2 linked regions of the Oryctolagus cuniculus genome follow. The protein of the gene in region 2 purifies or fractionates together with the protein of the main gene of each other region. This does not show direct contact. Links are inferred from orthologs where the notes say so. Each region holds a gene or a part of one and is shown on either strand. Other genes may lie near its edges.

Evidence for each region.
Region 1: the proteins of NKAPD1 (region 2) and CSNK2A2 purify together in Homo sapiens (affinity purification with mass spectrometry; 5 studies listed by BioGRID and IntAct, counting the BioPlex papers as one, with this or other methods). This does not show direct contact. The link is inferred for Oryctolagus cuniculus from reciprocal best matches to the Homo sapiens genes NKAPD1 and CSNK2A2.

Annotation. Positions count from the first base shown.
Region 1 is NC_091449.1:41,550,326-41,557,770, forward strand, and holds the start of CSNK2A2 (casein kinase II subunit alpha'), read right to left. Parts: upstream 4,905-7,445; 5' UTR 4,759-4,904; coding exon 4,655-4,758; intron 3,901-4,654; coding exon 3,789-3,900; intron 1-3,788.
Region 2 is NC_091432.1:104,018,678-104,024,920, forward strand, and holds the start of NKAPD1 (uncharacterized protein NKAPD1), read left to right. Parts: upstream 1-1,675; 5' UTR 1,676-1,814; exon of another isoform or gene 1,815-2,374; intron 2,375-3,544; 5' UTR 3,545-3,552; coding exon 3,553-3,621; coding exon of another isoform or gene 3,622-3,628; intron 3,629-4,202; exon of another isoform or gene 4,203-5,039; coding exon of another isoform or gene 5,040-5,057; intron 5,058-6,243.

The DNA of each region.
Region 1 (7,445 bases), on a different chromosome or scaffold from region 2:
GCTGTTCCAACCATTTGGAGTGAACCAGCAGATGGAAGATATCTCTCTCTCTAATTTTGTCATTCAAATATATAAAACTTAAAAAAAATAAAAAACACCAAAACAAGACTATCAATAGGAAGCCTTGATATTGTAGCAGTGGCTCTAAAAGCTGTAAAAATTTTTTTAAAGATTTATTTATTTATTTGAAAGTCAAAGTTAGAGAGAGGTCTTCCACCCACTGGTTCACTCCCCAGTTGGCCACAACAGCCAGAACTGTGCTGATCTGAAGCCAGGAGCTTCTTCCTGGTCTCCCATGTGCGTGTAGGAGCTGGACTTGGGCCATCCTCTACTGCTTTCCCAGGCCATAGCAGAGCGCGGGATTGGAAGTGCAGCAGCCAGGATACAAACCAGTGCCCATATGGGATACGGGCTCTGCAGGGAGCGGCTTTTACCCACTACGCCACAGCGCTGGCCCCTACATTTATTTTTATTTATTTATTTATTTGACAGAGTTAGTGAGAGAGAGAGACAGAGACAAGGATCTTCCTTCCATTGGTTCACTCCCCAAATGGCCACTATGGCCAGCGCGATACGCCAATCCGAAGCCAGGAGCCAGGTGCTCCCTCCTGGTCTCCCATGCGGGTGCAGGGCCCAAGCACTTGGGCCATCCTCCACTGCCTTCCCGGGCCACAGCAGAGAGCTGGACTGGAAGAGGAGCAACCGGGAATAGAACCCAGCACCCATATGGGATGCCGGCGCCAAGTGAGCCACGGCACTAGGCCCCCTACATTTATTTTTAAAAACAGTGTTGCTCTCAGCTTCTGCATAGGAAATAGCAGTTTAATTTGAAAGACGCCAAGGACTCAAGAAGCTGCAGTCCACACTCCCGTGCAGGGTGCACAAATTCTACAAGTTGTCACAAACGGCCAAAGGCTTTTTATTTCTGTGTGTATCTTTCTCACTTTTTTAAAAAAGGCACTGAATGGGGCTGGCGCTGTGGCATAGCGGGTTAACGCCCTGGCCTGAGGTGCCGGTTGGAGACCCAGCTGCTCCACTTCTGATCCAGCTCTCTGCTATGGTCTGGGAAAGCAGTAGAAGATGGCCCAAGTCCTTGGGTCCCTGCACCCGCATGGGGGACCACAGGGAAGTTCCTGGCTCCTGGCTTCAGATCGGCGCAGCTCCGGCCATTGCAGCCATCTAGGGAGTGAACCATTAGACGGAAGACCTCTCTCTCCCGGTGTAACTCTGACTTTCAAATAAATAAATAAAATCTTTAAAAAATAAAAAAGGAACTGAAGAACAGTTTTTTTCCGAAACCAAAAGATGAAATTTCTGACACTGAAGGAGCTTTCTGTTCTGCTATATAAACCTCTACCATTTCCCCCCTTTTCTCCTCAAAACAATTTCTGTAAAAAAAAAAAGTATAAGCTCCATAGTGACTGAACAACTCTTGAGACTTCAGTCTCAGAACTTTACTTGATAGAGGCATTTTGCACACCAGTTTTTAAATTCCTAAAACGTAATGGCCCCAATACATTCTGATCATTGAAATAATTGGAAATGTACCCATGACAATGTATGTCATTAATGAATGACATAAAACTCCTCCACAGTCACTCCCCTTGCAGCCTCTATCAGCTATAGGGAAGAACTGACGACACTTGTAACTGACAGCAGAGAGAGGGAAGACTCCTCCTCCCCAAGGGGGACCCCCTGCATCTCGGTCACGTGTGCACATTAACACTTAGCTCCTGCCTGCAACTGCAACGTATGCAGTAGCATACACGACAGGGAAGCCTTTTCTCCATTCCTCTAAACACAGCAGCTATTTCCTATGAGCAAACAGCACAGCGGTAGGCATCAGTCCTAACTTCAACTCTGAGTAACGGAGCGCAACTCTGGATAAAGACCTTACTCTTTAAAAAAACAGTACTTTTAATCCACTTTCCCAACAATACAATTAGTGGTTTCTTATCCCATCCTTTAGACAGGAACAACATCTGGACAGAAACGCTGCAGGGCTTTGGAAAGCATACAGAAGGAGTGTAGTGTTCAGCCCTGGAAGCAAGGTGGTTCACGCCGCACCGTGAAAAGAAGCAACAAGAAACGCTTCATCAACTGGACACCAGAGGGGCCTGCGGAGCTCATTCCAGAACACTGGAACTTACTCTGGGCGCAACATGAAGATCCCGCAATCCAGCGCCGAAGAAAGCTGAGAGGGAAAAGCAGGGAGCAGCAGTGCTGGTGGTGAGCTGGCTGAGTTTCTTTGTGCCTGGGCCTCTCCTTTGTAAAAACCACCTGTGGCAGTCTTCATATTGAGTTCCCTAAAACATCCCAGCACGCTTCAGAGAACAGGAAAAACTCTCTAGTCACCAGGAAGTGCTGTGCAAGGATGACCCAGGAGCAACGCGATGCTCTCCTGGACAGACAGGCATTCACACACACACCTGAACGCTGCGCCGTTCAAAGAGGACACAGGAAATGGCACTTACTCTAACAATGCTGCTGTTGCACCAAAGTTTAGACATTTTTCTGGAACTGCCTCAGAGTCAGCACTCATTCTTCCAGACAGACAGCTGGGGAATACGGCTATTTCTAATTCCAACTTCAGCTCTGCTTCAAGTCAAAGCAGCCTGCAGTAAAGCATTTTGCTTATGTACACAGAGGAATTACATGGCCTCCCCAGGTGACTGCCTTGAAGGAACACCATTTCTTCACATATTTATGCTTGTTGGGGTGGGGGGAGGCCCTGGGACTTCACTGGTGGCTCATATTCAGGGGAGGGGGCGCCAGTCTGCAAATCCCTAACACCCGTCCCTCACTTCATGTGCCCAGCGTCTGACGGCACAGCGGCCTCTGCCGCTTTCTCTCTACCAGAATCCTGCTCCTCCATCACCGGCTAGGACAGCACTGAGCGAGGCTGCTGGGCACGGTTCTGAGAGGCGGCTCCCAGAAAGCCTGAGCCCGGCCTGAGAGGACAGGGCCTCCCCGCACAGCCTGACATGCACAGGCAGCTTCTGAGCCCCACAGCCCCCGCCACAGACCCTCTCCAAACACACGTTCAGGGATCTGGCGATAATGAAGACCCATGACAGCTTCTAAGAACAACTTTGCAGGACACCCAGTAAAACATTATTAAAGCCACACAGTTACCTGAAGCCAACTCTTCAGGCTCATTACGTCTTCACTCAAGAGATAACAGAAGGCCTATCATCAAACTTAAGATTGCGAAAGCAGACATCAGACAGTTTTGTTCCAACAGCTTGAGTGATTAAAAGTGCCTTCTAACTCCAGTTTTACTAGCTGATAAGCAGCTCCAGGGCTCCCAGCACTCCCTGCGCCCCTCAGCTGTCCCACCTGAAACTTCACTGTCAGAGGAGAAACAAGTGGTTATCACCCCGAGGAGTTTCCTTCCCCTTGGCTCCAATTTTCTCCAACTTTCTTTGTGGACTAACAAACACAGCGCTCAAAGAGCCCTCGGATCCATGGAATCTCCATGAAAAGGCTTTTCTTCCCTCTGAATATTTATTTATTTTGTAACAAATGGGGCCCTTTTGGGATTTTTGCTTTGGGAACCTCTAATTTACATTTTAGAACAAGGGTGTTCCTGATCCGTTCTGCTTAGATTTAAGGCCGGTCTGCGTGTTTTCTTAAGTCCAAGGAAAACGGGGTGGGATCCGGGCGTCCTGGACAGAAGAGACATAACGCAAGAGCCGGCACAGCTCGTTCTAGAAACGAGGCTCGGGTAACTCACGTCCTTTTGGCCTGTGGGGGAAAAAGTTACAAACCACTTATAGGAGACTCACCTTCAGAATTTTTACAACCACTCTCTCATTGTTGGTGATGTTAATGGCCTCAAATACTTCGCTATACTTTCCCCGACCAAGTTTTCGAACCAGCTGGTAATCATCTTGATTACTGTGAGAGGCAAAAGACACACATAAATGCTGGGCCTTGGGGTCCGCCGAGCCTATGCCCACGATACGCCCCGGCCGGCCACTTCCACGAACCAAGCGCTTGGAAGTGTCTATAATCCATGCTGCAACTCAGTCCCTATATGAAAGCTACAACACACACCAGGCTCCTGCTGCTCTGCAGGGCTCCCAACCTAACTGGTCCCTTGTAACTTGGGGGTAGACGCTCTGAGTCCATCATCCATCTCGCAGACCCTGGGAGCACTCCGCCCTGCCCGCGGTTCCACAGCACCTGCCCCCTATTTCACACCCCGAAGGTAGCCAGCGCCAGCTCTGAGAATCTGCACATCTTTCGAAAAAATCCCCCCCACCCCGCCTCGTGTCAGAAAACTAAAAAAGCAGCGCATTTTCATAGAAGACAGCTGTTGACTCCCCACCCCGAGAGAAACCCCCAGCCTGAGGGGCGGCTGCTGCCTCCCTTCCGCGCTAGGCCCTGGTCCCCCCCCCCCCCCGCCGGAGGGAAGGGGCAAGAGGGGTGCACAAAGCTGGGGGCGGGGGAGGAACGGCCGCGGGTGAGGGAAGAGGAAGAGGAGGACATGTGCGAGGTGGGGGCCTCTGCCGCCCAGCCCAGCCCTGCCCCGGCGAGCGGCCTGCGGGAGGCAGATCGCGGGGGCCGAGTGCGGTTTGCGCCGGGGGGCGGCCCGGCGGGGGTGGGGGTGAGAGGCCCCGGCGGGGGGCGGCGGCGGCGGCGGCTTTACCCCCAGCTCGGGACGTGAGCCTCGTAGTCCCAGTAATCGCGGCTCCTCAGGCTGTTCACTTCGGCGTAGACCCGGGCCCTGCTGCCCGCGGCCGGGCCGGGCATGGCGGGCGGGACCGGGGGGCGCCGCGGGGCGCAGAGGGCGGCGGCGGCGGCGCGGCGGGGGGCGCGGGGCGGCGGGCGAAGGAGGCGGCGGGCCGCGGGGCGCCGGAGGAGGAGGAGGAGCGCGGCGGCGGGCGGCCGCGCCAGGCCGGGCCCGCGGGGGCGGGCGGGCTGGGGGCGCGGGGGGCGCCGGCCGAGCCGGCCCGGCCCTGGAGCAGCCGGCGGGGCGGCGGGGCGGGCGGCGCTCGCGCTCCGCGGCGGCCTCCGCTCGGCTCGCGGCCCCCAGGCGGCGGCGGCGGCTGCGGCGACGGCGGCGGCGACGGCACCGGCAGCGGCAGCCACCGGCCGGGAAAGGGGCAGCGGCGAAGAAGGAGGAGGAGGAGGAGGAGGCGGAGGAAACCCGGAAAAGGGGCCGCGCTCACTAGGAGCGGCCGCCGCCCAGCCCGGGGCCGCCCAGGCTCACAGCGCCCCCTGCAGCGTGGGGGGACCCGCGGGGCGGTGCCGGCCCCGCCCCCCGCCCCGGCGCGCCGGTCGGGCTCTCCGCATCCTGGGGCTGGCCGGGTCTCTCCCGCAGGGCCACCCCGCCTGCCGTCGGCTGCCCTTGAGCCCTTGAGGACTGACCCCGAGACGCCCACCCCAAGACCGTCACCTCTGGTCATCCAGACCTTACCCACCCCAAGACCTCCCGCAGTACCCGGTCTTGATAGCCCTGTTACCCAACCGCTCTTCCCCAGTGACGCACTCTTCAACCGCAGAACCTCCCCCACCTCAAGATGTCCCCTCCCCTCGTGTGTGTGTGTGTGTGTGTGTGTGTGTGTGTGTGTGTGTGTGTTTTAATCCCTTTTCCCCGCTGTGGACCCTGCTCTGTCACTCGCAGACTCCTTGTCCTGAGACCCCATGCTCCTTCATCCCAAGTCTTCCCCACAAAACCCCTCTCCTACACCGTCCCCCACGTTCTCTTCCAGAGCCTTCTCTGAACGTCCACTTCGGTCACTTGGTTAAGCTGGGGTGGCCAGTCTGGCCTGTTTTGTGCCTTCTAGCCCTGAACTCTCTTCTCTCCTGCATCTTCTGGGTCTTCCTTGTGGCTGGCTCCCCCTTCTGCCCCACTCTTAGCGGCCCCTCACCCAGCCAGCCAGCTCTGACTCCCATCCTTTTTCATGCTGCTTCCTGGATAAGGCCCTTGATGGAGTTCAGCATTGTAGATTACCCTGCCGCCTGGGCATCCCGCATGAACTCTGGTTGGGGTCCTGGCTGCCTCTCTCTCTCTCTCTCTCTCTCTCTCTCTCTCTCTCTCCCCCTCCTTCCCTCCATCTCCTCCTGTCTGTGACTCTGCCTTTCAGATAAACTAAATCTTTAAGAAAAAAAGACCCAGGGCAAGCATTGCAGTGTGGAAGGTTAAGCCACCACCTGTAACACTGGCTTCTCGTTTGGGCACCAGTTTGAGTCCCAGCTACTCCACTTCCAATCCAGTTCCTTGCTAATGAGCCTGGGAAAGCAGCAGAAGGTGGCCCCCAAGTCACTGGGCCCCTGGAATGCACATGGGAGACCTGGCTTCGCCTAGGCCAGCCCTGACCTTTATGGCCATTTGGGGAGTGAACCAGTAGATGGAAGATTTCTCTCTGTCTCTCCCTCTCTAACTCTGCCTTTCACATAAATTCTTTTTAAAGGAGAAAAAAAAAAAGACCCTTGATACAGCTAAAAGCACAGATTATGGAGTCAGAGCTATCCAAACGTGAGTCCCAGCTCTGCTGCTTACAAGCTGTGTCCTTGAACCAATTACTTAACCTCTCTTGGCTGCAGATTTCACAGCATGAAACTGCTGATGGCGCTCACTTCCCAGGGTTGTGCAAAGAACCCAGACTGGGCAAACCTTGTAAAACGCTCGGAGCGGTGCTCAGTATTAGAATACTCAGTGCACTGCACGACCAGTACCAGACCAGGGCCTTATTCCTGTCATGTTTCCCTCCAGGAGACGAGCCCACGTGCCTTGCAGTTCCTCCCACCCTTCCAGGTGACCAAGGGACACCTCCACCCCCACTTTCCTATGGCTGACTCCTTTTTCCTCTTCAAGTCTCACCTTTAAGTCACTCTGTCTAAAGTGATGTTTCTGTATCTCAACACCCCAGCCGCATGCATCACAAAACTGCACATCTTGGCACGGGTTATTTCCTGGTTTATTGTCTGTCCTCTCCCCACTGTGAAAACAGTGTGAAAGCAAGGAGTGGCTCTGGCAGCCCCTCACCGGCTCACCCAGCAGTTGCCACAGTCAGAGGCCTCCAGTGGTGCTAACTCACAGAGGACTTACGGGTTAACCCATGGAGAACCTAGGCGTCACTGCCTTAACTGCGGCCCAGACTTATCATCCACAAGGAACCAGCTGAGCCTTCAAAGTGACACGCTAACGGGGGACATATCACCAATGGTTCCTCCTGCCAAAAATGCGGAACCTGAATTTAATCGTGACACAATCAGACCAATGCAAACTGCAGAATATCCTGCAATGTGGCTAGCCTGGACTCTTCAAAAATGCCGGTGTCACAAGAGAAACAAAACCGAACCCTGTAGTCATGCTCTTGACTACAGGAGACTGACTTGGCTATGGATCGGCGCAGCTCCAGCCATTGCGGCCAACTGGGGAGTGAACCAGAGGATGGAAGACCTCTCTCTCTCTCTCTCTGCCTCTCCTTCTC
Region 2 (6,243 bases):
ATTTGTTTATTTTTAAAGGATTTATTTATTTGAAAGAGTTACAGAGAGAGCTATAGAGGGATATAGGTCTTCCATCTGCTGGTTCACTCCCTAGATGGCTGCAATGGCTGGAGCTGCGCTGATCAGAAGCCGGGAGCCAGGAGCTTCTTCCAGATCTCCCACACAGGTGTAGGGGCCCAAGGACTTTCCCAGGCCACAGCAGAGCTGGATTGGAAGAGGAGCAGCGCGGACTAGAACCGGCGCCCATATGGGATGCTGGCACTTCAGGCCAGGGCTTTAACCCGCTACGCCACAGCAATGGCCCTACGTATTTTTTTTTAAAGACTTATTTAAGAGTTAGAGAGGTCTTCCATCCACTTGTTCACTCCCCCAAATGGCCACAAATGCTGGAGCTGAGCACATCTAAAGCCAGGAGCCTGGAGCTTCTTTGGGGTCTCCCACGTGGGTGCAGAGTCATCTGCTTTCCCAGGTACATTAGCAAAGGAGCTGGATTGGAAGTGAAGCAGCTGGGACTCAAACCCGTTCCCGCTGCAGGCTGGGGCTTTAAGATGCTAGGCACAGTGCTGGCCCCGTGTTTTGTTTTGTTTTGTTTTGTAATTTATTTTATTTGAAAGGCAGCTGAGAGATCTATCAACTGGTTCACTCCCCAAATGGCCCCAATAGCCCGGTCTGGGCCAGACAGAAGGCAGGAGCCTGGAACTCTATCTGGGTCTGAGCTGGATAGGAAGTGCCACAGCCGGGACTGAACTCTAACCAGTGTTCATATGGGATGCCGGCATCGCAGACAGCAACTTAACAGGCAAGCCCCAAATGTTTTCCTTATTCTGTCATTGGTTAGTAGCCTTTACAAAGTGCTCCAGTTGTCCTCTCAGATAGGGCCTTACCTCCACTTGGACCGTCAAAAACCCCAAGGGAACAAAGCAGTCACTTTAAGTCTGGATTTCTTGGTGATCGCCTTGTTCCTACACCCTGAGTATTGGCTGAATGGTGCATCCTCAAACGTGAAATCGCCAGAATTGTGTAGGGGTGAGTACCACAGAATTTCAGTCCTTTAGTGGATAGAGAAGGCCCGGGTTCCAATCTCAGCTCTCTCCTACAAGCAGTGTGACTTCCAGTAATTAATGTACGAAAGTGCCTCAGGTGTTTTTTTTCTTCTTCTTCTTTTTCTTCTCTTAAAGAAGGAATACTTCTCTCCTTTGGGTCATTGTGAGAACCACTTTACGGAGAAGCTGGAACACTTGGATGACCTATGAGTAACTCCTCTAGGTCTTGGGATGACCCTCCTCGCCCCGCCCACCCCCCACCCCCCCACCCCCCGTCAGAGAGGTGTCCCACAACATCCCTGAAAAGAGCCCAAGAGGTTTAGAGTCTTCCAGTACTATCTTAGTGTTAGACTAAATAGGAAATGCAATTAACGGGCAATCATTCCTAAGGTCCGCAAACCCACCTCTTCTCGGTTCCCAAATCGCGACACTTGTTTCCCGGGTAACCGGACTGGGTACAACACCTAATTGGGTCCGGGAAGCTCCAGGCGGAAAGTGTTTACATCTAGTTCCGGAATCTCCCCTTCTGAGGTCCGGCTTACTTTTTAGCTGAGCCGGACTCACTTGACTTCCAAGAAAGGGCCTGCTTCCCTTCTGCAGGGGTCGGCCCCTAGACTGCCCAGGAAATTCCCCAGCGGGAGTCGCCGCCGCTCCCGTTGGTGGGAAGAATTTCTCCCAAGCACGGCTTCCGGCCTGAAAGGGAAGCCCCCTCCTTTTTCTCCCAGACCGCCTCCTCCCCCCCACCCCCGCCACGCGAGGCTGCGGCGCACGGTATGGGTGTGTTTGTGTGTATTTGTGTGGGGAGGGAGTTTATAGGGAGAGTCACCGGGAGCTCCAAGGCCGCTGGGGGACAGGGATCCCGGTGACAAAGATGGGGGTGTTTTCTCTGTCTTCTACCTGGAAACCCCAAAGGCCCCGTCAGGCACCGTAGACACTTCCTGGGGCCCAACGGAAGGTCGTACCACTCCAAAACGTCCCCCTTCTTTCCTGGGGAGTGAAACCCAACCCCCGGTGTCCGTTCCAGCGGAGCGTCAGCGGGCGATGCCCCGGTCAACCGGGCGGTCCGGGTTCCGCGCCGGCGCAGCCTCCGGCCTCAGCCAGGAGAAACATCTGCCTGTCGGGCTGGGCTGGGGCGAGGCAGCCGTGGCCTGGGCCACGGGTGAGGGCAGAGTAACCGGTGGGAAGGCTCCGTTTTCACGAAGGACTCGGGTGAAGCTGCAGAGCTGCCTTTGAGCCCTGACTCCTTGGCTTCCTGGGTCGATGGAGATCTTGTAATGGAGTGGTTCTTCGTCTCACACTAACAAGATGCCTGATTACCTCAGGATCGAGGGGTGAGTGAGCGTTGGGGTGGTCGCACAAAACCCCTGGTGACCACACACGTGAATATTCTTGTTAATCTAGTTTTAGGAAACTTCTGTACAAAATAGGATTGACGATGCCCCGAATGGAGAAATTTCGGTCATCTTGCATTTCATGCCTAAAAGGCATCAGTTTCTGTAATTGTAGACGGGTAGTTTCTGACGCTATCGAATCTGGGTGTTACTTCATTGCAAACTTTGGGGTTCCAGATTTGACATCTGATCTGGACATTGATATATAGTCGTTTGCATGAGGCAAGTTAGAACTTGAAGGGAGCTTCATCTAGAAGATAAGAATGGAGATATTATACATTTGGCCTTTGGTACCGGTTTCTGCATTCTCGGATTCAAGGAACAGCAGGATGAAAATATTTGGGGGGGAAAATTGTCTGTACTGACTTTTATTCTCATTATTCCCTAAACAGTATAGCATGATAATGATTTCCATGGCGTTTATGTTGTATTAGGTATTAGAAGAAATCTAGAGATGCTCTAAAGCCTACAGGAGATGTCATAGGTTATATGCAAGTACTGTGCCATTTTATATGAAAGTACTTCAGAAAGTTAGTGGAAGATGGAATTAAAAGCTAAGTTTACTTTGTTGCCAAAAAAAGAGAGAGAAATCCATGCATATGAGGGGTTCTTTAAAGAGTTCATGAAGAATGTATATTGTAAAAAAAAAAACTATATTGATTTCAAATACTTTTTCTACCAAAGTAGACATACCTTTTAATTCAATTTTCCATGAGCTTTTTGAAGTATCCTTGCATAAGGGATTTGAGCATACATGGGTTTTGGTGTCTATGGGTGGGGGGTTGGGGGTGGTGATGGTTCCAGAACCAGTTTCCATGATTATTGAAGGATGACTGTATTTGCCTAATATAAAATAGAGTTATTATGAGGATTAAATAAAAGGTGCTTAATTTTGTGCAGTCTTGTTCAAAGAACTTTAATGTATGTTATCTTCTTTCATCCTTACATTACAGGCTATTCCCCCCTTTAATGGTAAAGGAAAAACTATTCCTCTGACTTCTAGTCCAATGTTCTTTGCTTTACCTCATGCTTTTTTATGAACTTTAATAAAAGCAATGGTAGTAAGGTAAAGGAAATACTTACTAAGTGTTATCTATTGACTCATTTCAGATTGAAGAATGTCCCGGGTTCCTTTGGGGAAAGTCCTCCTGAGGAATGTCATCCGGCACACAGATGCTCACAATAAGGTGGGAGGTACAACCCAGTCATTCCTCAACACTTATTGAGATCATACAGTGTGACAAGGATTGTTTTGATACAGTTGAGGAGTCCAAAGTGAATGAACAATTTATTATCTACTTAAATAGATAAAAATAGTTTCATAAGTATTATATAGTAGAGATAGCTGCAAAGTACTTTAGAGTACCAAGGAAGGAATAAGGAAATCTGTGTTGGGGAATTAGAAAAGACTGCACAGGGAGCAAGCATATAGCCTAGCTGTTGAGACACCTACGACCCACATTAGAGTATCTGGGTTCAGTGTCTAACTGCAGCTCTTGACTCCAGCTTTGTGCCGATGCAGACCCTGGGAGGCAGTGACAATGGCTCAACTAATCGGTTCTGTCCCCTCATGGGTGACCTGGACTGTGTTCCCAGCTCTCAGCTTCAACCTGACCCAGCTCTGGCAATTGAGGGCATTTGGAGAATGAACTACTAGCGCGCTCTCGCCCGTGCTCTCTCTCTCTCTCTCTCTCTCTTAAATTTTCATCTATTTGAAAGGGCGACAGACACACACACACTGATATCTTCTATCTGTTTTACTCTTCAGATGCCTACAACAGCCAGGAACTCCATCTGAATTTCCCACTGCATGGAGGGGCCATCATCTGCTGCCTCCTTGGATGCATTAGCAAGAAGTTAGATCAGGGGACCTTGGCGGCTGCCACGGCTCACTTGGCTAATCCTCCGCCTGCAGCGCCGGCACCCCGGGTTCTAGTCCCAGTTGGGGCACCGGGTTCTGTCCTGGTTGCTCCTCTTCCAGTCCAGCTCTCTGCTGTGGCCTGGGAGGGCAGTGGAGGATGGCCCAAGTGCTTGGGCCCTGCACCCGCATGGGAGACCAGGAGGAAGCTTCTGGCTTTGGATCGGCGCAGCGTGCCGGCTGTAGCAGCCATTTGGGGGGTGAACCAACGGAAGGAAGACCTTTCTCTCTCTCTCTCTCACTGTCTAACTCAGCCTGTCAAAAAAAAAAAAAAAAAAAAAGATCAGGGGACCGGTGTTGTGGATATGGATAATGGTTCTCGTCCCAACTGCTTTACTTCCGATCCAGCTCCCTGCTAATGTACCTGGGAAAGCAGGCTCCTGGCTTCTGGCTTCGGGTTGGTTCAGTTCGGCCACTACGGCCATTTGGGGAGTGAACCAGCAAATGATAGCTCTCTCTACCTCTCTGTTTCTCCTTCTTTCTCTTTTTCTGCTTTTCGAATAAATAATTTTTTTTTCTTAAAAGAAGCTGGATCAGAATTGGAGGTGCTGAGACTTGATCTAGCACTCCGATTATGGATTGTGGTGTGCTAACCAGCAGCCTAACTCATTTTACCACAGCATCCACCCTGGAGCTCTCTTTTTGTCTGCTTGTGTTTCTGCCTCTAAGTAAGAAAAAAGAAAGAACATGAGACGCTTTCACAAGGTGGGTGATTTGAGCTGTGGATTTTTTTTTAAAGACTTTATTTACTTGAGAGGTACAATTACAGACAGTGAGGAGAGACAGAGAGAGGTCTTCCATCCACTGGTTCACTCCCCAAATGGCCACAATGGCTGGAGCTGAGCCAATCTGAAGCCAGGAGCCAGGACCTTCTTCCAAGTCTCCCTTGCGGGTACAGGGGCCCTAGTTCTTGAGCCATCTTCTACTGCTTTTCTAGGCCATAGCAGAAAGCTGGATTGGAAGAGGAACAGCCGGGACTAGAAGTGGCACCCATATGGGATGCCGGCACTGCAGGTAGAGGATTAACTTGTGCCATAGTGCCAACCCCGAGCTGCTGATATTTAAAAAGTTATTATTATTATTATCTTAAGGCATAGAGATAAATAATGAGAGTTCTTCCATCCACGTGTTCACTCCCCAAATGCCTGCAACAGCCTGGATTCGGCCAGGCTGAAGCCAGGAGCCTGAAACTCAGTCCAGGTCTCCATGTGCTTTGGCCATCACCTGCTGCCTCCCAGAGTGTCCATTAGCAGACAGCTGGATCAGAAGCAGGAGAGGGCCAGCGCTGTGGCATAGCGGGTAGAGCCGCCACCTGCAGTGCCCGCATCCCATATAGGTTCCGGTTCAAGTCTCGGCTGCTCCACTTCGGATCCAGCTCTCTGCTATTTCCTGGGAGGGCAGTAGAAGATGGCCTAAGTCCTTGGGCCCCTGCACCCACGTGGGAGATCGAGAAGAAACTCCTGGCTCCTGGCTTTGGATTGGTGCAGCTCTAGCCACTGTGGCCTGTGCATTGGGGAATGCATCCGTGGATGGAAGACCTCTCTCTCTCTGCCTCTCCTTCTCTCTCTGTGTAACTCTGCCTTTCAAATAAATAAATAAATCTTTAAAACAAAACAAAACAAAAAAAAGTAGTAGAGTCAGGACTCAAACCAGGCATGCCAAATGCCTGCCCCAAGCTGCTAATACTTGAACTGTTTCTTCATGGATGTATATTATTTTATCAAATATTGAGGTTCATTCCAGACAGAGAGTATCATGCACTAAATATGGCAACAGTAAAGAATGTGGCATGCTAAGAAATTCTCTCCATCCAGAAAGTAGGGAGAGTTAGGTATTAGTGGTAGAAGATAAGGCCCAAGAGGTGAATTACAGTTAGATTGTGATGCTTGAA